3 linked regions of the Tamandua tetradactyla genome follow. The protein of the gene in region 1 interacts with the protein of each later gene in a pairwise test. Links are inferred from orthologs where the notes say so. Each region holds a gene or a part of one and is shown in the gene's direction. Other genes may lie near its edges. The genes, in order: membrane-spanning 4-domains subfamily A member 12-like, PLLP and MALL.

Region 1 (7,582 bases):
AGAACTAGCAAGGAAATAATGATAATTATTTTTAGATATTTCACACCTGTGAAAAATTATTTTAAATATTACCAGTTACCTTAGGTATGTCATATTCCATCAAAAGAAGATCTACAAATTGGAAATTACTCTATCCAGAAGCCATTTTTAACCAAAATAAAATGTTATCCTATAACTTTTCAGGATAAATAGTTGGAACTGAACTACTGATGGATGAAAGGTATATTTTTAAAATACAGCATTACTGCCTTATTTGGAAAGAAATGTTTAAATGAATATCCTGTGTTTGCAGAAATTATTTTAAAATCTCTTCTTTCTCTTCTGTCAACATACCTGTGAGATCGATTTCTCTACTATGGATGTTATTTTAAAAAAAACATAGAAAGAGTTTAGAAATACACTGTCCCTGGTAAGCAGCATTGCCACCAATCCAATTTAGATTAGACAAATTAACAAACAAGAAGCCCTGATTCCATTCAAACTTCAAATAACTTTAAATAGTGACATACAAAATGGCCATTCAAGTGTGAGTGTCATCAGAACACATGGTCTTTGATAGTTAAGCCAGCCTAATCCTGGATCAAACAGAGAAACAAATCTCTTTGTCATAGTGAGCTGAGTTTTACTCAGGGGCACAGGAAAGGAGCTAGAGGAAAAATTTCCCAAGACCAGTTCAGAGGGAGAAGGGTGATTTGGGCTTTTATAACACTAAACAGAGAAGGAAATGGCCAAGATCTAGAAGAAAGCAAAAGAAAAAAAATAGAGGAGGAAAAGCTGTTTGGTTAGCATATTCAGTTATTCTGTAGGCCCTTCTTTTTGTTGACCATTTAGGTTTTTTATCTTGTTCTTCGAAGGAAAGAAGGTGATGATATTAGTCTAAATGGTATTTTATTCTTACAAGCAGAGCAAGGGAGGATTTTATTACTGTAACAGAAAATAAATTTTTGAGATTAAATCAACAATAATCTATTTCAAAAAGGGCTTTTAGGTTCAAAGTAATTCAAGGCTGCTTGAGTGAAATGATTATAATAAACATTTTTCTAGCTACTGAGGATTATACTAAACGTTTTCCAGCTAAAGGAAAATATTGAGTATTTTTCCTAATTATCTAAGTAGTACCAGTAAAGACAATGTGGGAAATCATTATTTCCTTCATCACTTTTGTTTAGTTACAATTTTTAATGGATGACAAGTTAGAAGTATAACAGTGATTTTATTAATTGCCTATCAAATGATGTTTTCAGTTTTGTAATTCTTTTCTATTTTCCCATGTCATGTTTGTTCAGGTTATATTTATTACAGCATAATTTTTTGCCTGCTGAGTCTAATAAAAAGTTGCACTTGAATTGCTATGGCTTTTATTTTTTCTACTGTCACATTTACCATATTTTCCAAAAGCATTGGTCCATATGCATCGGAATTTTTTTTTAATATAATTCTTCTGCACAGATAGTTTGAGAAGCACTAAGCTGGACGACCATGTCTTGGGGTCAGTGCTCTTGTTTATAGACCTCACCCCCAGAACCAGCCTTTACCGGCTCCAAACCCACAGAAAGGAACCCATGGGTCATAACTCTCTGAATCTGGACTGAACTTCGGCCTGCTGGCTGATCTCTTAGGAATCCAACTCCACAATTAGGCCAATTTCTCCAGGTTTGAAATCTTCTAAAACAAGGATTTAATCAGGAAAGCTAACCAGAGAAGTGTTTTCATGGTATTTAAGTTGCAATAACAGGACACAATGGCTGCAATAGATTGTTCATGAGCAAACACTCACCTACACACCCTAAAATTTTACTGCCTATAGGAGCATATCATGTTTGTTCCAAATTATTGTTCCCACCTAAGTTCACTCACTGGTATGTATGACTGTCCTAGAAGAATAGAGACGTAGACATTTTAATAAATGGAGCAATTTATTTGTTAATATACGAGGCAAGGTATCTTCATACAGTAACAAAAAGGAGAAAACAGGAAGCAGTGAACCATTTTGCAGCACAAAGGCCACCTTTGCAGCAAGCCAGCATCGTTTGGATGCTATACAAAAAACACAGCACTCGGGTGGTATGATAGTAGCTTAGTAGCAGAATTCTCACCTGCCATGCTGGAGACCCAGGGTCGATTCCTGGTGCCTGCCCATGCCAAAAAAAAAAAATCACAGCACTCTGCATTTGCATGGCATCTTCTCACAAGGGCTTTACCACTCTCCTGATTATGCAGGTTTTGAGAAATCAAGAATGCACTGATTATCATACTTATGAAGTGATAATTCGCTGACAGTATAAATGCAGTGAGATGGCCATTTATTTCTGACAGTGAGTATGGTCACATTGAATCACATCCTTCACTAACACATGTTCAAATCCCAACCTGTGTCCTATGGGTGTGAACCCATTGGTAAATAGGATCTCTGAAGGTCCTTTTAAGGTGCAGCCAAGCTGAGTCAGAGACAGGCCTTAATACAACATGGTTGTGCTAGTTTGAAAGGATGTATGTCCCCTAGAAAAGCCATGTTTTAATCAAAATCCCATTTCATAGAGGTAGAATAATCCCTATTAAATACTATATGGTTGAATCTGTAATTAGATCATCTCCCTGGAGATGTAACTCAGTCAAGAATGGTTGTTAAACTGGATTGGGTAGAGACGTATCTCCACCCATTTGGGTGGGTCTTGATTAGTTTATTGGAATCCTATAAAAGAGGAAACATTTTGGAGAAAGTGAGAGATTCAGAGAGAGCAGAGCAGAATGACATAGCCACAAGAAGCAGAGAGTCTACCAGCCAGCAACCTTTGGAAATGAAGAAAGAAAATACCTCCCAGGTAGCTTCATGAAACAGGAAGCCAGGAGCGAAAGCTAGCAGATGATGCTGTGTTCACCACATGCCTTTCCAGATGAGAGAGACACCCTGACAGGTTTGCCATGTGCCCTTCCACTTGAGAGAGAAACTCTGAACTTCATCAGCCTTGTTGAACCAAGGTGTCTTGCCCTGGATGCCTTAGATTGGACATTTCTATAGATTTGTTTTAATTGGGACATTTTCTTGGCCTTAGAACTGTAAACTAGCAACTTATTTAATTTCCCTTATAAAAAGCCATTCCGTTCCTGGTATATTGTATTCCAGCAGCTAGCAAACTAGAACAATGGCTGAAGTCCTTCTAAGGAAAGGAAATCTAGACAGAGTCACAGACGACTGAGCAGGAGAAGCCAGAAGACAGATCACTTGTGACAGAGGCAGGGACTGAGCCACATCAGAATGCTACAAACTTGGGAGAAAGCATGCCCTGCCAATACCTTGAGTTTGGACCCCTCGCCTCCAAAACAGAGACAACAAATTCCTGTTGTGTAAGTCAACCAGTCTGTGATGTAGGTCACAGCCAAATAAGATACATGCCACAGCCATCAGGCAAAATAAGACAGCTACTTAGAATGCAAAATTGCGTGTAACTCTGTACCCATTTTAGAGAAATGGAAGAGAGGGGTACTCTGATTTGGCCAATAAATTCATATAGTTAGTGGAAACTACTTAATATTTGAAATCCTAGTAAAAAGTCATAGGAAGACAGCAAGAGTATTACCTTATTGGTAATAGGGAATTAACTTAAAAAAAAAATGTTGGCCTTTGATGGCCTTTGATTCAAGCACAATACCAATAAGATACAAATCTGTAATTCATGCAGCAGCATTTCAATTTCCTTCTCAGAATCAAAGGGATCTGAGCAAGAAACCAGTAGGCAAAAGAAATTTGGATTATAACATGATTGTACTTGTTTATTAAGATAAGGAATCTGTTCACAGATTTCCATCCAAAAATATTGAAAGGAAAATGTTTGCATGCTTAAGGGATTAAAGTTTATTTATCTACAGAAATTACCATAGTCAGAGAACAGCCTAATTTCCCAATTATGCTATGAAAAGCAGGTATGGCAATATATGTAAAAGCAGTACTTATGGAGCCTTCTTTAGTCCTTGGTAAATCTTCAGCACTTACTAGCCTTGTTTAAAGAACTCTGAATAAAATGCATTCTGTACTGGTCAAAGAGCATTTTCTCTTCCTTAAAAAAAAGGAAGACATTCTGAAGCTAGTGCATAAAAAAAAATTATGAAATTATGTCTTATCTCCTGCCTCCTGGAAGGGTTACAGAAATAAGAATTTAAAAATACCACATGGAAGCATCGCATCATTAAAGCCACCAACCAACCCCATGGATATGAGACCAGGAAGGAGCAAGAACACTTTAGATGAAGAAAGATTAAGTTTAAGAAAGAATTCCTCATCTATGGAGAGTCTAGAAAGCCACTCATAGAAAGAAGCGCCCTCTCTGCTTCAAGAACACTGGTCTCTTCAACCTTCTTTTCTGCTGCTTGGATGACATAAATCTGCCCAGTACAAAGGAGAGGAAGCACAGTGTATTCTAAAATTTATAAACAGGATTATATATCCATTTGTGGTGGAAGATAGCCCATGATAAAAGAACTTTGGACTATATAAAACAGTTGACAGGTTGGCTTGAAATGAGGAAGTAAAATGTACTTATAAAATCTGAAACCAACACAGAGCTTGAAGCAGAGGCAGAGGGGACGCAGAGGTGCCAAAGGAACAGAGTAAGTCCATTAAAACATCTCTACCTATCTCTTCACCCAAATGAATGTGCATAAATAGTGGGGCTGCTCTATCTGTGCAGGTTCTCTGCTACATTCTGTTCTCTTATCTGGAGAGTGAAGCCAATTCTTGACTATACGTTGAGATCAGTAGATAAGTGAGGGAAAGCAAAACCAAGAAGAAAGGAAAGAGGAGAGAATTGAAACAGGAGAGCAATAAAATAAAAATAACAGGAGAGAAAGGAAAGAGGAAGTGCACCGTTAACAGGCAAAAGGTACTGCAAGAAAAAATATCAATAGCTAAATGCTAAGAGAGATAACATGGTAGGTTCAGATGTTTGTCATTTCCATGAACATCAATCAACAAGGAGGAGGCAATGTTCTGCTGTAAGCATTTGATGATAATGTAGCTACCACACGACTTTCACAGAAAGCCCTATAAGGAGTTGGTTTTGTAATAAATTTTAATCAAGGTGCCTCTTTCTGATAAGAAGCAAAGGTGGTGAAAATCACACATTATCACCAGGTCAGCATGTTTATTTGTGGAAAGCTATATACCTGCATACCTGTCAATGCACTGAGTAAGCCCATTAAAACATCTCTACCTATGAGTAATACTGTCGAAATGACCCACCATTTTGTTTCACCACGGTCATGAAACATGGTCAGCAACACCCAATGATATTAAAAATCAGATTAATGTGGAAGTAAGATGGAAAGAAGCTAGCAAATGTAAATGATTACATTTGTAAATGTAAATGATTCCCTTTTGTATTTGAAATCAACTAAACAAAAGGCAAATTATGAGCTCCTGTCTTATTACCATAGCCGTATCCTTTTGATCTCATCAAACCTTTTACTTTGCAATGTGTTCCTTGTACTTAAAAATGATTGCAGTTGCTCTAGCTTTTAGAAAGAAAGATAACTACTGATAATTATTTTGCAATACCCAAGAGAAAAATTGTGCTAGGTCAATGGAAAGAGTCTACAAAGAGAGTCTATTCACTGGGTTCTTTTTTCTTGTTATCATTTCCAGGAATATCTTCATTTCACTTAGTTATTTCCCCCAGTATTTTTCCCTCCCTTTTTACCAACTGTGCAACCAGCAAGACTGTTTATAGAATAAGTCGTTTTTAGTATAAATTAGAAGGATTGAAATTGGCTGGACTCTTTATTCCTTTTAAAAAAAAAAAAATCAGGGGCAGGCCACAGTGGCTCAGTGGCAGAGTTCTCGCCTGCCATGCTGGAGACCCAGGTTCACTTCCTGGTGCCTGCCCATGCAAAAAAAAAAATCAGAACATAACCCAGTAAATACTCATTCTGGGACCAGCCACTGTCTCTATAGAGATATTAATAATGAAGAGTCTATATGAAGCTCAAATACTTTAGCCCAGAAACTAAAGAGTAGATACGAAATCAGAAACTGTCGATAAATCAGTGAAGACTTAGGTTTCTCTTATCAAATTTGGGACAAAAAAAAAAAAATTCCCAAGATCAACAGTAAAAGAAGGGATAATGAGATCAGATATATGCAGAAACATGGGGTTTAACTGTATACTTTAAAAAAAAAAAAACTCCAGGAAATTTTTGTTCTGGTTAATTACTGTACCCCAAACCCTCACCTCTTATCTACTCACTCTTTGCCTTGACCTTTTAAAATTCAATCCTTGCTATAAGCTTACCATATGACCACATCCACAGCTTAAATTGGGAAAGGAGGCTTTGGGCTCTAATAATAAAGTGACAGCTATCTTTTATTGAGCCCTTGCCATACGCCAGACACTGTTCCAAAGGTTTCATGGGAACTACGATCATTTGATCTCCACACTACCTGTCTTTGAAGGGAGACATCATTAGTCTCATTCTAGTTGAGACATGGGGACCAGCAAGGATTTAGGGAGGTTAAGTAATTTACTAAAGGCCCCAGAGTTAGTGAAGTAGCTGACTGGGGATTAGAAAACAAGGCTTGAGCATAAATGACCAAGGAAACCAGATCCTTGAGCTGCAACCTCATGTTCTTCAAGAATCACAGCTATGGAACTGTTTAAATTTCTTTGTTTAAAATAACCTTTTGTGCCTTAATTTTTTTTTTCCATTTTGAAAAGGTAATCCCTTGATAATCAGTGGTTTCTGAGTCCCCTTCCTGTTGAGTTTTCAACCTTTTCTCAGTGGTTGCTAGCATTTGGGTAGCTTAGAGCAGTGCTTATGAATGCAGGTTCTAGATTCAGTTTTCTCATCTATGAAATGGGAATAATAATAGAACCTACCTCATGGGTTTTGCAAAGCCTAAGAGAGATAATGTTTCACATACACTTATAGCGTTATTATGTAAAAGGTACAATTCTAAGACATTTGCATGGAATGATTCTTAAGTACTCAAAGCAACTGTGTAAGGAAAGAACTCATTATCCACATTTTACACACAAGAAACTAAGGCAAAGAGAGGTTAACAAATTTTCCAAAGCATAGCTGGTGTCAGAGCCAGGATTCCAACCCAGAATCCGTGTTCCCACCCATGACAATGCACAGCCTCTGCTGGGCACAGAGTAAGTGTTTAGTAAATGTTAGCTCTCTGGGCAGCCTACCCGAGGCTCACTGAGAAGAGGCCTTGCTGGCTTAGTTTTTGAATCACTAAAAAGTCAGTCTGGTTTACAATGTCCTCGGCACAGCAGCAGAAGGCAGTAGTTTTGTCTTTGGGTTGTTGTAGGTGCATAGTCAATTCCCCATCTCCAAAGCTAGCCTGGAAAACCACCTCTGCAAGCATCCACAATGAAGTAGTTTGGTTTTAGTAGGGGAACTCTGGACCAACAGTCAAAGAGCCCAATTTTCTCTTCCTGGCTCCACTACACATATTCTATGTAACCTTGAGCGAATCATTTAACCTGTCTGAGCTTCAGTTTCTAACTGGTAAACTAAGAGGAATCAGACAGGATGACTGGAAAGACTCTCCAACCCTGAAATTTCAGAATTCTCTATCATA
Region 2 (7,798 bases), on another chromosome or scaffold:
CCTATCTGTTGCTGTGAGGACATTTCATGGAATTAAATCATGACCACACTGGCAGCATCCACAGCTGATTGCATTTGCAATCAGTTAAGGGCAGTGTCTTCTGCAATGAGTGACACTTAATCTAATCACCAGAAGGCTTTTAAGGAGGATTCATAAGAGACAATCACTCTTCCTGCTTCAGCCAGCCAGTCTCTCCTGAGAGTTCATTGAGGACCTTCATTAGAGCTGCCGTACATATGTTGCACTCTTACATCCCCATGGTTGCATGAGACACTTTTATGAATTTTATATTTACAGATATCTCCTGCTGATCCTGTTTCTCTAGAGAACCCTAACTAATAGACCGAAACATAAAAGTGAAACTACAAAACTTTGTAGAAGAAAACCTAGCAGGAAATCTTTGTAACCTTGGAATAGGATAAGATTTCTTAGAACACACAAAGCATGGCCTATAAAAGAAAAAGTCGATAAAAAGGATTTTATCAAATCGAAAACTTTTGCTCTTCAGAAGACACTGTTATAATGAAAGACATGCCACATATTGGAGAGAATATTAGCAAAGTATATACCTGATAAAGGTCTTGTGTCCAGAATATATAAAGAATTCTTATATCTCAGTCATTCAGAAGACAACCCAACTTAAAAATGGATAAAAGGCTTAAATAGACATGTCTCCAAAAAAGACATACAAATGGCCAGGAAGCACATGAAAGGATGCTCATTATTAGCAATCAGGGAAGTGCAAATCAAAACCGCAATGAGATATCATTTCATACCCATTGGAATGGCTGTTATTTTAAAAAACATAAAAATTACAATTGTTGGAGAGGATGTGGAGAAATGGAAATGCTCACTCACTGCTGGTGAAGAGTGTAAAATGATGCAGCTGGAAGATAATTTGGCAATTTCTCAGAAAAAAAGTTAAGTATAGAATTACTGCATGACCCAACAATCCCACTTCTATATATATATAATTCAAGAGAATAATGATAATATATTATATTTAGAAAGGGAAAGATAGGGAAGGATACTCCTAACTCTTAGCAGAAATTAATTGGAGGGGGATGGGTGGTAGGTTTTTGGATGTATGTGTGATATGCAATGAAATAGATTAATGAATTAATGATATGATTCAAAATAAAGAGATTAACCAAATTAACCAACCCCATAGCGGGGAGCATAGGGCTAGATGGAAAAGTGCTCAATAGATATCTGCTGATTATAATCAGAAACCTCAGACTGTTGGCTTCTGAAGGCTGTTGGATGAAGGATAGAATAAGCTTTCTAGATCCCTGTCCCCTGCTGAATAATCCCTCCCTCTTGGTGCTGGCTGAGGGCTGTACCTTTTCTTGGGGTCTGATCATTCCTATATTGAATCCTAGTGATTTCAATCCTCGTGGATTTTTTAAAATTATAAATGAAGTGGTGTAACTACCTTCCAAATGTCTGTTTTTTTGTTTTTTGTTTTTTTTTTTAGAATAAATCCACTTTGGTACCAAGAGGGTAAGACACAGGTGACCTAGCCTCTGGCTGCCTCCAGAACTTCATCTTTACCCCATTTCCACAGCTCACAGCCTCTGTTCTTCCTCAACAACCTCAAAGTCTTTCCTGCCCCCAGGGTCTTTGCACACGTCTGAAATGCTCTTCTCTTGCGTGGTGCCTACTTATCCTTGGGGTCCCTGCTTAAATGTCTTGACCTTCTCTGATCCTGCTATGGAAAACATATCCTTCAGACCTCAGAAGTATTGTCTCCCATGGCACCCTGCTATGGTAGCATTATCACAGTTGGGAACGATCTACTTGTCTGTGGATTTGTTTATCTAGAAGGCCTGTCTCTCCCAGCAGACTATCTACTTGTTGAGGGTGGGGCCCCTGCCTGGTGCCGGGTTCTGTCTCAAGGTGCTCACTAGACATTTGTTCAGCCTCAGATTCCTGCCCTTCTGGATCATGCCCACCCGTGGTGCGACAGGCAATCTGTGTCAGGGTGGTCTGCTCAGACCTCAGCAGGGGATCCAACCCTGGTAGCGGACTGCCTGTCTCCTCCTCCCTCTCAACACCCTTCTCCCCAAGAACCTGGGGCTCTCCTTGAACCAGTGGAGACCCAGGTGGGCGGCAGGTCCCAGCCTGGGGACAGATTCCTACCCACTTTTTCTGTCTGGGGGCCGGTAAGATTGGTTGGGCAAAAAAAATGTTGAACTAAAAAGACAGTGCAGTGATTCAGTTTTGCTTGCTGCCATTTGAAAGGAATGAAAGTGGGATTAACCAAAAAAAAAAAAAAATCAAAACAAGAACAAAAATGAGAAAACAAAAACACACTACTGTTTCAGAATCTGCCTCTGAAACAATCATCTTATTGTTTTCTGTGTCATCATAGAATTAAGAGCCCACCCAAGCTTTTCTCAGCATTTGGACTCAACCGGTCCTCAGAAAGGCTGGTCTCTGCATGACATTTTGCAGCTACCAAATTACACTACTAGTTTCCAGAGAACCTATGGTGGGGGGAGGAGGGAAGTGTGTCCAGGTGCATGGTGGGAGTAAGAGGTGGAATATCCAGTTGACCCCTTGGGCAAAAGTTAAGTCAGCATCAACCAACCAGTGAAATTTTCCACGTGGCCATCAGTCCCTGCCTCTCCCCTGATTACAGCCCTCCAGATTTCAGAATAAAATGCTAATGCACTCCATCACAATAAAATGCTAATGCCCTCCATCACAGTGACTGACTGATAGCCACTCAGAGAGATCAGGTCTGTATTAGTTTCCTAAGGCTGCTATAACAAAATATAAAAAACTGGGGCTGAAAGCAACAACAATTAATTGTCTCAGTTCCGGAGGCTAGGAGTCTGAATCAAGGTGTGGGCAGGGCCACATTTTCTCTGAAGTTCTGACGGTGGCTTGCCAACAGCCCGTGGAGTTCTTTGACTTGTGGCCATAACACAATCTCTGCCTCTATCACATGGCCGTCTTCTGTCTGTGTCCAACAGCCTCTTCATTTAAGGACACCAATTATGTTGGATTAGGGTCCACCCTAATCCAGTTTGTCATTATTTTAACGAATAACATCTTCAAAGATCCAATTTCCAAATACAGTGATGTCCACGGGGCAGGAATTAGGACCTGGGATAAGAAATTTTACCTTACAGGGCAAAAGGGTCTTTGCAGTTGTGATTAAACCAAGCGTCTTGAGATGGGAGATTATCCTGAATGATGTGGGTGGGCCTCAGGGCAGTCACAAGTGTCCCCTTGAGAACGAGGTAGAGGAAGATTTGACATACGCAGAAAAGGAGTCAGTGTGACCACGGAGGCAGAGACATTCTTCCTTAGAGCTGTGGAAAGAGTGTGGCTCTGCCAGCAACTTGCTGTCAGCTCTGTGAAACTGCTGGCTTCTAGAAATGTGAGAAAATAACTTTCGTGTTTTAAGCCACCAAATTTGTAGTTATTTATTACCGTAGTCACAGGAAACTAAGACAATAATCTAAGCAGTGCTTTGTGATCTGGTCCCTGCTAGAGCTCAATGTCACACCAAGGCCAAGATTTTAGTTCCTCAAACTTTCTAGCGTGGTCCAACCTCATGGCTGTTGGACTTGCTAAATAAGTTCTTCTCCCAGGTCTTCTTCCCAAGACTGGCCCCTATCCATGATTCAGTTCAGTGCATAAATGTCACCTCCTCCAAGAGGGCTTCCCTGCCCACCCTATCTGAAAATCACCTCCTGCTCATTCAGCATCGCACCCACCTGTTTCATTTTCATGACAGCATTTGTCACTATTAGGAATATTTTTTCTCCCTAGTTTTTATATTTGTCACCCCCACCAGAAAGTGGGATCCAAGAAAGACTTGTCTGACTTGTTAGCTTCTCTATCACCAAGGTTTTAGATAGAATTTGGCACTTCTTAGATGTCCAGCAAACAATGGTTGACGAATGAGTTAATGAGTTATCTATGCAAGCCTCTACGAGTGATGGTCTAAGGTGTGTTTCTGTGTGTGCATACGAGTTTTAGGGTTCGGGTAGAGCAATGAAACTCCGTCACCTTTGAGCTCCCCACTCCCCCGCCCCCGTTCAAGGCATGCCAGGACCTATGCTGGGGATCCCCATGAAATATCTCATTTATTCCTAATAACAGCTCTGTGAAATGAGGTTCCTCCAGATCTATTTTCAGGTAAGAAGTTCAGCGAACTTCTGAGTTACTGCATTGCACATACATAAGTGAAAATCACATCAGTTGAGCCATAAAAGGCCCGGCCCCTCCACCGTTGCACCCACAGTTTACACGCATCCCTCCCCTTCCCGCGCGCTAGGTCTCGCGGCGACTCGGTAGCAGGAGCTCGGCAGCGATGCTGATCCCACTTTACTGAAAGAGTTCCAGGGAGGCGCAGAGGCTCGCGCGAGGGCGCGCAGCTCCGGGAGAGCCAGGGCAGGTGGGTTCTGCTCGCGGCTACCTGTTGATCCCACGGCACCCACGCTGCGGGCAGGCGGCGCGCGGAGGAGAGACCAGGCGCGGCGAGTGCGGGGAAGATTCTGCGGGAGAAACACGCGCGGCCGCCTAGGCTGGCCATGGGGGAGCCACCTCGCTGCCCGCGGCCTCAGTTTCCCCCTCTGTGAAGTGGACCCCGCGGCGTACGAAAGGGTCGCGGCGGGCCGGCGGCGAGCAAAGGGTTAAAGGGGCGGGTCTCGCCGCGAGGGCGGGGCGGGGATTCCGGCCGCACCTGGCGGCTCCCGGCTCCCCGCCCCGACGCCGAGCTCTGCGCCCGGAACGGCAGCTGGGCCCCCAGGGGAGGAGCGGCGCGGGAGCCCGTACCCACTGCGGGAGCGGCGGCGGCGACGGCAACGGCGACGGCCGCACAAACCTCTGGAGGCGAGCGGAGCCGCCATGGCCGAGTTCCCGTCTAAAGTGAGCACGCGGACCAGCAGCCCCGCGCAGGGCGCCGGCGTCACCTCCTCCGCGCTGCGCCCGGACCTGGGCTTCGTACGCTCCAGCCTCGGGGCGCTCATGCTGCTGCAGATGGTGAGGGCGCGCGCCGGGCTGAGTTGCGGGAGGTCCGGTCCGGTCCGGTCCGGTCTGGGAGGGGTTAGGGCCTCATGGACGGATGGGGTAGGGGGGCGGCTTGGGCTGCGCACCCTTCTCGCAGCCCGCACCCCGCCTGGCTGGGCCAACACGCGTACCGACGCCTACCCCGGGGGTGCCTCCAGGACCGAAGCCCCCGAGAACCCCCTGGAACCTTCTCACCACGAGTCGCCCCCCTTGCAATCCCAGGGAGTACAGGCACCATGCACTAATGGACACAGTGCTCACTCTGCAGCTCCCCATCATTCCCCTCAACGCCCAACGCGGCCACACGCTCACAGAAGCCACAATCAATGTGCGCCACACACACACACTCTGCCAGGACGAGGCCGGCCTTCCAGCTCCCTAGTCCTGCAGGGGACGCCGTCCGAGGAAATGTCCGCTTTCTCTTGATCTTCTACCAAGCTCCCCGGCGGCTCCGTGTGGCTGCACCCCAGAACACACTTCTGCGTAACTGGGAGGACATATCCGTTCTCCCAGCACATACACTTAGGTGCGGCTTCCTCGGCGTCCGCGAGGGCGCCGGGTCCCTCTGGCTTGCTCTGGGTGACTTGCCGGGTTCCAGCCGGTTTAGCAGGCCCCGGTGGCGCCGAGATACCGCGCCCTGAGCACCAGCATTTCTGGGAAACCAGAGACAAGACATCTCCCTAGACCCCCGCAGAGGTGGAGAGACTGGAATGCCCACTCCATTCCCTACCCCGGTACACGAGTTTCAGGCCTGGGGGTGTTCGTTTTCTACCCACAAACCACTTTTAACGGGAGTCTCGAAGCTGGGTGGCTGCCCCCCGTGGGAGGCTTCTCCACCAGTTGAGGTGTTGGTCCGTTTACGGAGGCGTAGGGTGGCATTGGAGGTGGACCAGGATCCATTTTCCTTTAAATCCAGCTAGAGGGACATTTCTTGCCGTCCCCCTGCTGCTAGGTCCTTATTCAAGGCCGGCAGGAGAGCAAGGTAGCTACACTTGGTGTCGAGGTTCGGCTGGAATGAAAGCTCCCCCTTTCTCCTGGGTGAGGAACTCCCGACTACCCACCCCCACCCCCATGTTATTTCTATTCCAGCGGTGCTCCAATCGCAGGTTGTGGGGTCCCTGCCCCCACCCCAGCAGCTGAGATTTCCGGAGGGTTTGTTTAAAATGCAGATTCTTTGGCCCCACCCCTGGAAAGAATGTGAATTGTCATTTGACTCTCAAGAAGTGCCGCCCAGAAATCTACATTTTTAAACTCCTCTCCCTGCCTGATTTTTTTTTCCTCTGCCCTGAGGGGGAAGAGACCCATTTCCTGGACTAATTTAAATTTTGGGCCACTGCTTGTGTGCCAGGCTCTGGGCTGATTGTCAGAGGGCACAGCAGGAAACAGTGTTGGGGCACGCTGTCTTCAGGGAGCCCCACAAGAGGGGACAGCCAGGTGCCTTGTGAGAAGTGGTGCAAACCGGCGGAGTACAGTGATAATTCTGAGTCTGGGAAGGCTTCATGGGGGAGGTGGCTTTTGAGCTAGGTCTTTCTGTGATCTCTGGAAGATAATTCCATGCTCAGGGCAGTGTGTTAGCCAAGGCTTAGAGGTGGGGAGTTGCAATCAGATTGGTGAAGCTGGAGTTGAAGCACCCGTTACTTGGTGTGGCCAGAAGCTGCCGGCTTTGAGAACTCCATGAGACTAAGGACTTGGTTCTCTTGGCAGCGGGGAGCTTTGGGAGGGTTTGGAGGGAGGGACTTCTGCTGGGCTGAGGACAATGATTGGGCTGGCAGGGTGGATCCTGGCCATTTAAGCGGCTTGAGGATTCTGGTCCATAGGACCTGAGCACATGGCTCATTTGCACTAGAGCCCTGAGAGTGTCCTACAGAGGCTGTGGCTGCAGGGACCTTGGTAGCCTCAGGAGGAGGCTTGAATTCCTGATTTGGGGGTCTCCTGGGGGTTCAGCAGCCCAGCTCTGAGCATCTGGATCTCATTTCATATAGGTCTAAATAGAATGTATGACTTACCACATGTGCTCACTGGAGCTTGACATCCCACTAGGATTCATTTGTGTATAGGTTTCCTTTGCCCACTCCCAGCACTGTAAAAGAAGATGTGTGGCACTGTCCACCGATTTATCACTAGTTCAAATGATAAATCCATCTGGTTCCAGAAAGAACATAAGGTGGAGTTATTAAGCCGCATAAGACACCCCTAGGGCGTTTGGGACTCTCATCAGAGTTCTGAAGACCGGCATCGATGCTTCACCAACCTGCTTCTTAGAGAAGCTACTTCCTGAGCTGTTTCTCTGACAATGGACAATTCCACTGAATCTGAGTTTGGGGGGGTATTGTTCACTCAATAGGTACCATGTCTTCTGGGAAGACCTAACAGTGACAACATCTCCCCAAAATCAGGTACATGCTAGGTTCCAGTCCCTTTGCCAAGTTTTATGTCCTCTTATAATTCCCCCACTTTACAGGTGAGGAAACTGAGGCTCAGAGGGCAATTACTTGCCCATGATCTCAGAGCCTGGGAGTGGTGGAACTGGGATTTAAGCCCCGAGGGGTCTAGTGGCCCATGCTCTTAATTACCACATTCAGCTGTGTTCCGGGGGGCACAGGGCCTGGTCAAGGAGGGTGATGGGGTCTCCAGGCCCAGCACCAGATCTCTAGGAGCTCTTGGTCAGTGAAGGAGATGCCCAGAGGATGTGTTTCCCCTGCAGGGATCAGGAAAAGGCTGCTTGGAGGAGCACTGCCTGGGAAGAAGGAAGCTAGTTCTCCATCCGACT
Region 3 (8,065 bases), on another chromosome or scaffold:
ATCTGTGTCTCTCTTGGTCCCTTCTGGAGGACAGCCCCCCCCAACACACACACGCACACACACACGCACGCACGCATGCACACCTTTTATCCCATCTCTGGGAACAGGCTCTGACTGCCTTAAGCAGGTGAGCACAACCCTCTTCCTTGGTTACCGTGACAGGATTGCAAATGGGCCAAGGGAGCAAATTCCAGAAGATTTTCTCACCAGAAAACTCTCATTCACTGTTCAGTATCGGGAGAGATGTGCGGTCTGGTGGCATGCATGTTTGGTGGGGGGTGGGCATGGGGGGTACCATATGAGGTGGACAATAAAGCCAGATGCAGAGAGGGCAAAGCTGACAGGATATGGGGCCTTGGGAGCTTTGTTTGCATTACTGGATCAAGCCTCACCTGAAGCACCACAAAGCCTTGAAAGCTGAACTGACAGTGGAGCCATAGCTCAGAAAACGCAATGGGAACCCCCAGATTGCTTGATATTTGAATAGCCAAGAAAATCTCAACATTTCTCAAGGAAAAAGACAAAGGACAATTGAGATACCAACTTGAGTCCATGTGGCACCGGTGCAGCAGGTGGCTGCGCAGAGTCGCCGTGGCGGAGCTGCAGCAGCTCCGAGCACCTGCCGGGGGCAGGGGACTCCATGGGGAAGAGCATGGAGAGAGAATATCCGGAAGATGCAGGGCTTCATATTCTGGTGCAACGCAGCTGTTGCCAGGACAGCCAGGCATCCATGCAGCAAGTGCATCAGTGCACTGAGCACTGCCATGCGCCTCCGGCTCTCGCCCAAGTCCTGGTGACCATGAATTGGAGAATTTTCAGGACCACTTGACCCAGTGCACCATGCATTGCTGTGACAAAGCCAAAGACTCAATGGATGCAGGGAGTAAGGAATTTCAGGTGCAGCAGCAGCTGGGGGGCTGTGTGACCAGGTGTGCGGGCAGCCATCTGCACCCCGTCCCATCCAGGCCCGAGTCTCTGTCACCCATGGGGAAGTGAGAGTCTTTGCCATCAGGGATGTGGGCAGGAATCTTTATAAAAGAGGGCTGGAAATTTTGGTCCTTTAAGTGAAGTTTATGAATGAAGAACTTAAGGATTTCAGCAAGGTTAAGGACTACGTCACCTGCCTCTGGACCCTGGTTCTTTTATATACTTCAGTCCATAAAAAGCAAAATGGAAAAAAAAAAAAAACGGTGCTAAAATCTAGATGAGAGACAGCTCAGGAGTGGTGTTTTTACAGCCTAAACTTCATGTAGCAAGTGCTTGTCCGGGCAGTAGGGCGCTTCTGGAGCCTCCGATATACCAAATTCTTCTCGTTTCACAGGTACTAACAGCTGGCAGTTCCCTTTAACTTGCCTGTTTGAGGAGGTCTGTCTGCTGCCAACCTCCTGTTTTACCAGCAGTATCATCACACCATTTTCCATAAGTTGTAAAACAAAATCCATGAGGTCACTGATTTAAAAGGGAAAAAAAAGGTTTCTGGGTCTTTGATTTCGTTTTATATACAAGGGCCTGAAATTGTTGAAGATGTGGAGTTGAGAGAAAGGGCACTTAGAAAGCGATATCAGCTTGAAGGTGATACAAGTGTTGGAATCGAGACATCAAAGCAGCTCTCGTAGCTATGCTCTAAGAAGTAAGGACAAACACTTTGCAATGAATAGAAAGACAGACGGTACAAAAAAGAACCAAAATGAAAATATATACTAACCAAAATTGTAAAATTTAGTTGATAGACTAAATAAAGATGATAAGGAAAGAGTCAGTGAACTTAAAAATGGATTAGTATGCGTTTCCAATCTGAATAACAGAGGGGGGTATATTGGAAAAAAATTAACAGATCCTCAGGAACCTGTGGGGCAGTATCAAAGGTCTAATATTCATATCGTCAGAGTCCCAGAGGAAGAAAAAGTGTGTAGCACAGAAAAAATGTTATAAGAAATAATGACTGAAAAATCCCCCAATTTTGGGAAAGATACAAAGGTAGGAAGCTCAGTGAAGACCAAACAGGATAAGCTCAATGAAATCCATGCCCGGCTATGTCATAATCAAATAGTTAAAACTAAAGACAGAGAAAAAACCTTGAGAGCAGTCAGAGAAAAATGCATTACATATAGAGAATAACCATTTGAATGATGTGGATTTCTCATCAGAAACTAGAGAGGCCAGGAGTCGTACTGAAAGGAAAAAAAATCAACCCAGAATTCCATAGTCTACAAAAAAGAAAGAAAAGTTATCAACCTAGAATTCTAAACACCAGAAAAATATCTTTCCGGAGTGAAGGTGAAACAAAGACATTCTCAGATGAAAGAAAACGGAGAGAGCATGACCAGAAAACTAAGAGTGCATGACCAGCACACCTGCTTCACAGAGACGCTGCGGGGGGTCTTCAGACAGCAGAGGATGACCCCAGAGAGAAGCCTGGGGCTTTAGGAACAAAGAACAGCAACGTAAATAGTAAATATTTGGGTAAATATAATAGACTATGTTTTTCTCTTAAGTTCTTTAAAATACATGTGAGGGCTGAAAGCAAGACTGACTGTCGGTTTTGAATGTATGTAGATATAACACGTGACAGCTAAACTTAAAGGCAAGAAAGTAAAGGGACTAATGGTGGAAAGGTTTTGGTAAAATATTAATTCTGAGTATATTGTTCAAAATTAACTATGTAGATTGTACTTCCCAGAGCAACTTCTAAAATAATATGAGATAAAGTAAAAACCCCAATAGATGAATTTAAATGGAACACTAAAAATATTGAGAAAACCCAAAAGAATGCAAGAAAGAGGGATCAGAGGAATGAAATATAGAGCAAACAAATAGAAAACAAAAAATGGTAGATGTAAATCCAAGCATATAGATAATTTTATTAATTGTAAATGATTTAAACATCCAAGTAAAACAGTAATTTTCAAATGGATTTTTTAAAAAAATCAAATTAGATCATGCACGCACACACACACAAGCTGCTCTAAGTGTAGTGCTATAGGTAAATGAGAAGTAAAAGGATGGAAAAATGTCTACCACGCAAGCATCAAGGGGATTCTGCATGCAAATACTGTTTATAAGCAACTATAACTTGCATACATTGTTGGTGGAAATATAAATCGTTCGACTACTTTGGAAAATAGTTTGACATTATTGCTAAAAACACATGCCGTGTGGCCGTACTTCCACTCGCAGCAAAAGTGCATACGTACACACACAAATACATGTTGTAGCATGCTCTGAGCAGTACTATGCATTATTCATAATTACCCCAAGTAGAAAGAACCCAAAAGTCCCTGAGTGTAAAGTGGATACATACAGTGTAGTGGGCTCCTTCACTGGGGCCCCAGAGAGCACTCAGTGAGCTACAGCGTCGCACAGCGACATAGCGGAGCCTCACAGACCAGCAGCAGGTGGAGGAAGCCAAACGTGACAGAACCCAGACAGGATCCTTCAGCCCAGGCAGAGCCCGTCTGTGGGGTGAGAGGTCAGAGCGGCTGCCCCCGGGGGAGGGAGGCCTGGTTAGGAGGGACGGCCACTGTTCCATGTTCTGATCAGGACCGTGGTTTCACAGTCTGTAGGTTTCGTGCACTTTTCCAACGAGTGTGTCATACATCAACAAAAACAATTTTTTTTAATTGGAATGAAAACACTAACCAGAGAAGGTGCAGGTCTTGCTGTAGAAAGGAACGATCGCCAGAAGAGAAGTGGTTTCAGGATTCCAAGCAGATAAACAAGTACTTATGAAGTGTCTGCCATAAGCCAGCAGGTCCCAGATGCTTTCCTAGATCTCATTTAATCCTCTCCAACTAACAAGTGAAGAACGGGGAACTCCAGCCAGCGGTGCCAATGACTGCTTACGTGGGTGTCAGGACGACCCTCTAATCTCCAGCTCCAGGCAGGGGGACCTGCAGGCCCTGTGCGGGGGAGTCCAGGGGCCCCCCCTCGGGCCTGCCCTTCCCCAAGGCCTACACATGGCCTTTGACCTTGTCTCCAAGTGCGGCCACACCCACAGCCCCAGGGATAGAGTGCTGAAGCCGAGGTGGTCCGAGAGCACTAAGCCCGGTCCCTACTGGGGCCTCCCCACCTGTGTGCGTCTGAGCAGTACAGTTAGTTTCCCTGTGCGCAGCCTGGCTCCTGTGCTGCACTTAGTCGTATAATCAGTTGTTACCAGGTTAGACGTAAACATTTAAAGCATACCAATTTTAGTAGCCTCGTTTTAACAATGTCTCCATTTCCTATTACACCCCCATGGGCGCAGGAGTGCAGTGGCCGGGGCCCTGGTCCTGTGTGAGCTCTCTGCTGCGCAGGAGGGCAGCCCCCTGGAGAAGGTGGCTTTCCTTCTTTACCTTAAGATGTGCACACTATGTGGTTGCACATCAAGTCAGAGCGAGTACCGAGGGTTCACGCGCAGGTTTCACAAGCAGTGAAACAGGTGGACTCCTGGGAAACGTCGGCCTGGCCTGGTTAATCCTGTGAGCAGGTGGGGCCAGGTGGCAGGCGGGGCCAGGTGGCAGGTGGGGTGGGGCTAGGCTCACCTGGAGGGCGGAGCCTGGAATTCACTGGCTTCCAGGCCTCTTGCCGGCAGCGCCAAATTGCAATCCTCCCCCGTTTGGTCCTCGCCAGGACAGCCGAGGCCAGGACAGCCGAAGCTGGGCGGGGCAGGCAGAGGGGTCCCAAGGCCTGAGCACCCGCATCGGGGGAACTGGGGTCAGCCAGTTCTCAGGGGGGAGGAACAGGGCAACCCAAGGGGGCGCGGCCTGGGGCGGGGGCGCAGGAAGGACCCGGCTCCGGGCAGCCACAGCTGGGGTCTGGGGGATGCAGGGTGGGAGGGGCGGGAGCAGGGGCGGGGCTTCGGCGATTCAGGAGCCACTCCACGCCCAGAACTCGGGGTGCGGTGGGGTGGGAGTGGGGTGGGGTGAGGGCATGGGGGAGGGCCGCCGAGGTGACCCGCCCCCCCCCCCCCCCGTCCTGTGCCCTCCAGCCCCGCCCCCTCAGGGCGTCCCTCCCCTGGGCCCGGCCCGGGGCGGGGTGGGGGGGGGAGGGGGCGCCCCAGTTCTGCCCCGGGACCTGCTGGGCCGGGCGGCCTCTGCCCTCCCCGCGACGTCGCGGGGTGTGGCCGATGGAGGCTATTTGAGGGCGGGCGGTCGCACTGCGGGGAGGCGCAGGCAGGGTGCGAGCATGGCCTCCCGGGACCCGCCCGCCAGCAGCTACAAGGGGCCCGAGGTGCCCTCGGGGATCGCGCTGCTCACCACCGTCCCCTTCGCCTTCTTCCTGCCGGAGCTGGTGAGCGCCGGGCGGGGGGGCCAGGGCAGGAGCTGGGCCAGGGGAATGGGCCGGGGAACAGGGTAGGGTCACGGGCACAGGCCAAGGCAGGGCTGGAGGGCAGGGGGCTGGGGCAGGGCAGGAGGCTGGGGCAGGAGTGGAGGACAGGGGCCGGGGGGAGGTCAGGGCCCGGGCAGAGGGCAGGGGGCTGGGGCAGGGTCGCGCCTCCTGCGGCACCCGGTGGTTTCGGTCCCTCCAGCTCTGGATCCGCCGCTGTCCCCCAGAACCAGCCGCTCCCACTTGGGGCTGCTCACCGCCCCCGCGGACGGGTGGATTTCCTCTTTCCAAAACAAATCCCACTGTGGGGCGGGCGGGCGGGCTGCCGGGCCGCTGGGGGTGGGGGGGGACAGGACTGAGAGGCTGGGGGTCTCCAGAAGCTGGTGGGGCTGGACTGGCCCGCGGGGACCCCCTCCCCGAGCATGAGTGCCCGGAGAGGAGTCCAGGCCCCCGGGAGTCTTCGGGCCATCTCAGAGGTCAGGATGGCGACTGATAACGCGCACCCACGCCAGGCGGCGTGTGACAGTCCCTGCCGCAGAGGGGGCAGGAGCTCCCCAGGGCAGGTGAGGTCCTGTCACCATGGCCCCGCCCACCTGGTCTGTCCCGTCTGCAGCATGGCTCCGCACGGGCCCCCAGTGTCCCCTCCTGAGCCGGCTGTCGGTGCCCCTTTTCCCGATGGGGAGACCGAGGCCGGCTGAGATGCACGGGGCAGAAGGAGAGCACAGGAAACGCCTTCCCAAGTCTCTGCTTCTGGGTGACCTTTTCCCACCTGCTGGGAGCTTGGCCCGGCTCCTGGGTCCCGCCTCTGGCCTGGGCCTGGCTCGCCTTAGGTGCCTGGCAGGCAGCCCGGCGGGACTGACCTCCTGGCCACTGGTGAAAGGGCGCGCAGTGATGTCAACGTGAAGGGAAGCCGGCAGGGCGGGCCGCCTGTCGGTGACTCCAGCGGAGACCCCACCCGAGGGCGGCGGCCGGACACAGCGCGGGCGTCTGGTGCAAGGGCCCTGGTAGGCGTGTGTGCTGCGCCCCACCCCACCCCCAGAACCCACACGGGCCAGGGGGCGCCGCAGCCTTTGTGGGCACATGGTGTCTGTCAGCAGTCCCGCCTGGACAGAGGACACTCGGACAGGACTCCCCAGGTGGGGGTGGGAGGTGTAGAGTCCCAGTGCCCAGCTCAGAGAGTAGCCCCGGGCAGGGGCTCTGCCGTGCTCCGCCCCCCTCCCCCAGGGTGCTGTGCTCATGGGAGCATCCCACCGAATGCCGAGGAGCAACATGCTTGGCTGATTTGGGCTCTTGGAGCTTTAAGTATTTTGCATTGTCACTAGTTCAGTTTTATTCATTTATTTTAAAATAACTTTAGGTATACAGCAAAGTTGCAGAAATAGTGCAGAGCATTCCCGGGTGCTCCTCTGGAGTTCCCCTGATGTCACGTCTTGCACAGGCAGCTGGAGAAATCAGCAAACTGATATCAAATCCTCGCCATAGCTCCTCCATAGCCGTATCTGAATCTTGCCGGTTTTCCTGCCAGTGTCCGTTTCCTGTCCAGGATTCCGTCCACGCTGTGCTGTGCTGTCCTGTTAATCCAGGACACCTCCTCTCTCTTTGCCTTGACGCTGCTGCAGAGCCCTGACCGGTTGCCTTGTAGAATGGCCCTCAGTGTGAGCTTTTTGATTTTCTCATTACAGTTTTGTTCATTTCTTAATTCATGAGCAATCCTCGTTCATGGGCGAAAACTTAGAAGATGTAGAAATGTAGTTTCTCTGTGTTTTGGTTTGCTAGGGCTGTAGAAGGCAATATACCAGAAATGGGTTGGTTTTTACAACAGGGATTTATTAGTTTATAAATTTACAGTTCTAAGTCCATGAAAACGTCCCAGTTAAGGCATCAGCAGGCTGACACCTTCTCTGAAGAAAGGAAGGCACATGGCGCGTCTGCCGGCCTCCGCTCCTGGGTTTCGTTGCCTTCAGTCCTGGCTCTGTGGCCTCCTCTCTGAGCTCCTGTGGGACCTCCTGGCATCCCCAGGGCTTCCCTCTAAGCACTCTCAGCCTTTCCTGCCTTTTTATCCCCTCGTAAAGGATCAAGAACTACCTTGAATAGAGTGGGTCACATCTCCATGGAAACCACCTAAACAAAATGCCCCCCTCCCCCACAACAGGTCTGCCGCCACAGGAGAAGGCACCTGGCCTTTTCTGGGGTGCAGCACAGCTTCAGCTAGCACACCGTGAAACTGGGGCCTATCTGTGCAGCCCTGCCGCGCGTCTATGTACCCCTGCAGGACTTCGGCAGGCTTAGTCTGGGCGGGCTCCCCCTAATTTAGCAGGAATTACGGGACCACGAGTCATGGAGGTCAGCTGGAGAGGGGGCATTGCCCCGGGCAGGAGGACAGACAGGCAGACTGGCCCTGAGTAGGGGCCCTCCGGCCTCTGGACACCACGCAGAGGGGCCAGCCACACAGCCCCGGCTGTGGGGGCGCCTCAGACAGGAACGTGTTTCCTGGAGACAGGAGTGCAGAGCGTGGATCCTCAGCTGGGAGGTCAGGCCAGGAAGAAGCCGCACAGGAAGCAAAGGCCAGTGACCTGGAGCTGGCGCAGGGTGAGTGCCAGCGGCACCCCGAGAGCCAGCTGGGCGGGAACCCCCACGTGGGAGCAAGAGAGTAAAGTACAAGGGAGTGGAGTGGAGAGCCGTGGCCCCTGGCTGGCCGGCGCAGCCTCGGGCTCTGGTAACAGGCGAGGAGTGGCCGCACCCCAAGTGCGGGTTCTCGGCT

What was found.
Region 2: the proteins of membrane-spanning 4-domains subfamily A member 12-like (region 1) and PLLP interact in binary tests that used the Homo sapiens proteins (3 or more experiments, as listed by UniProt). The two-hybrid records come from large-scale screens. The link is inferred for Tamandua tetradactyla from reciprocal best matches to the Homo sapiens genes MS4A12 and PLLP.
Region 3: the proteins of membrane-spanning 4-domains subfamily A member 12-like (region 1) and MALL interact in binary tests that used the Homo sapiens proteins (3 or more experiments, as listed by UniProt). The two-hybrid records come from large-scale screens. The link is inferred for Tamandua tetradactyla from reciprocal best matches to the Homo sapiens genes MS4A12 and MALL.

Annotation. Positions count from the first base shown.
Region 1 is NC_135335.1:14,524,654-14,532,235, reverse strand, and holds the start of membrane-spanning 4-domains subfamily A member 12-like, read left to right. Parts: upstream 1-4,553; 5' UTR 4,554-4,605; intron 4,606-7,582. UniProt on the Homo sapiens protein: May be involved in signal transduction as a component of a multimeric receptor complex.
Region 2 is NC_135342.1:50,961,656-50,969,453, reverse strand, and holds the start of PLLP (plasmolipin), read left to right. Parts: upstream 1-4,749; 5' UTR 4,750-4,866; coding exon 4,867-5,001; intron 5,002-7,798. UniProt on the Homo sapiens protein: Main component of the myelin sheath that plays an important role in myelin membrane biogenesis and myelination. Plays an essential function in apical endocytosis. Regulates epithelial development through the regulation of apical endocytosis.
Region 3 is NC_135343.1:1,888,840-1,896,904, forward strand, and holds the start of MALL (MAL-like protein), read left to right. Parts: upstream 1-5,022; 5' UTR 5,023-5,163; coding exon 5,164-5,268; intron 5,269-8,065.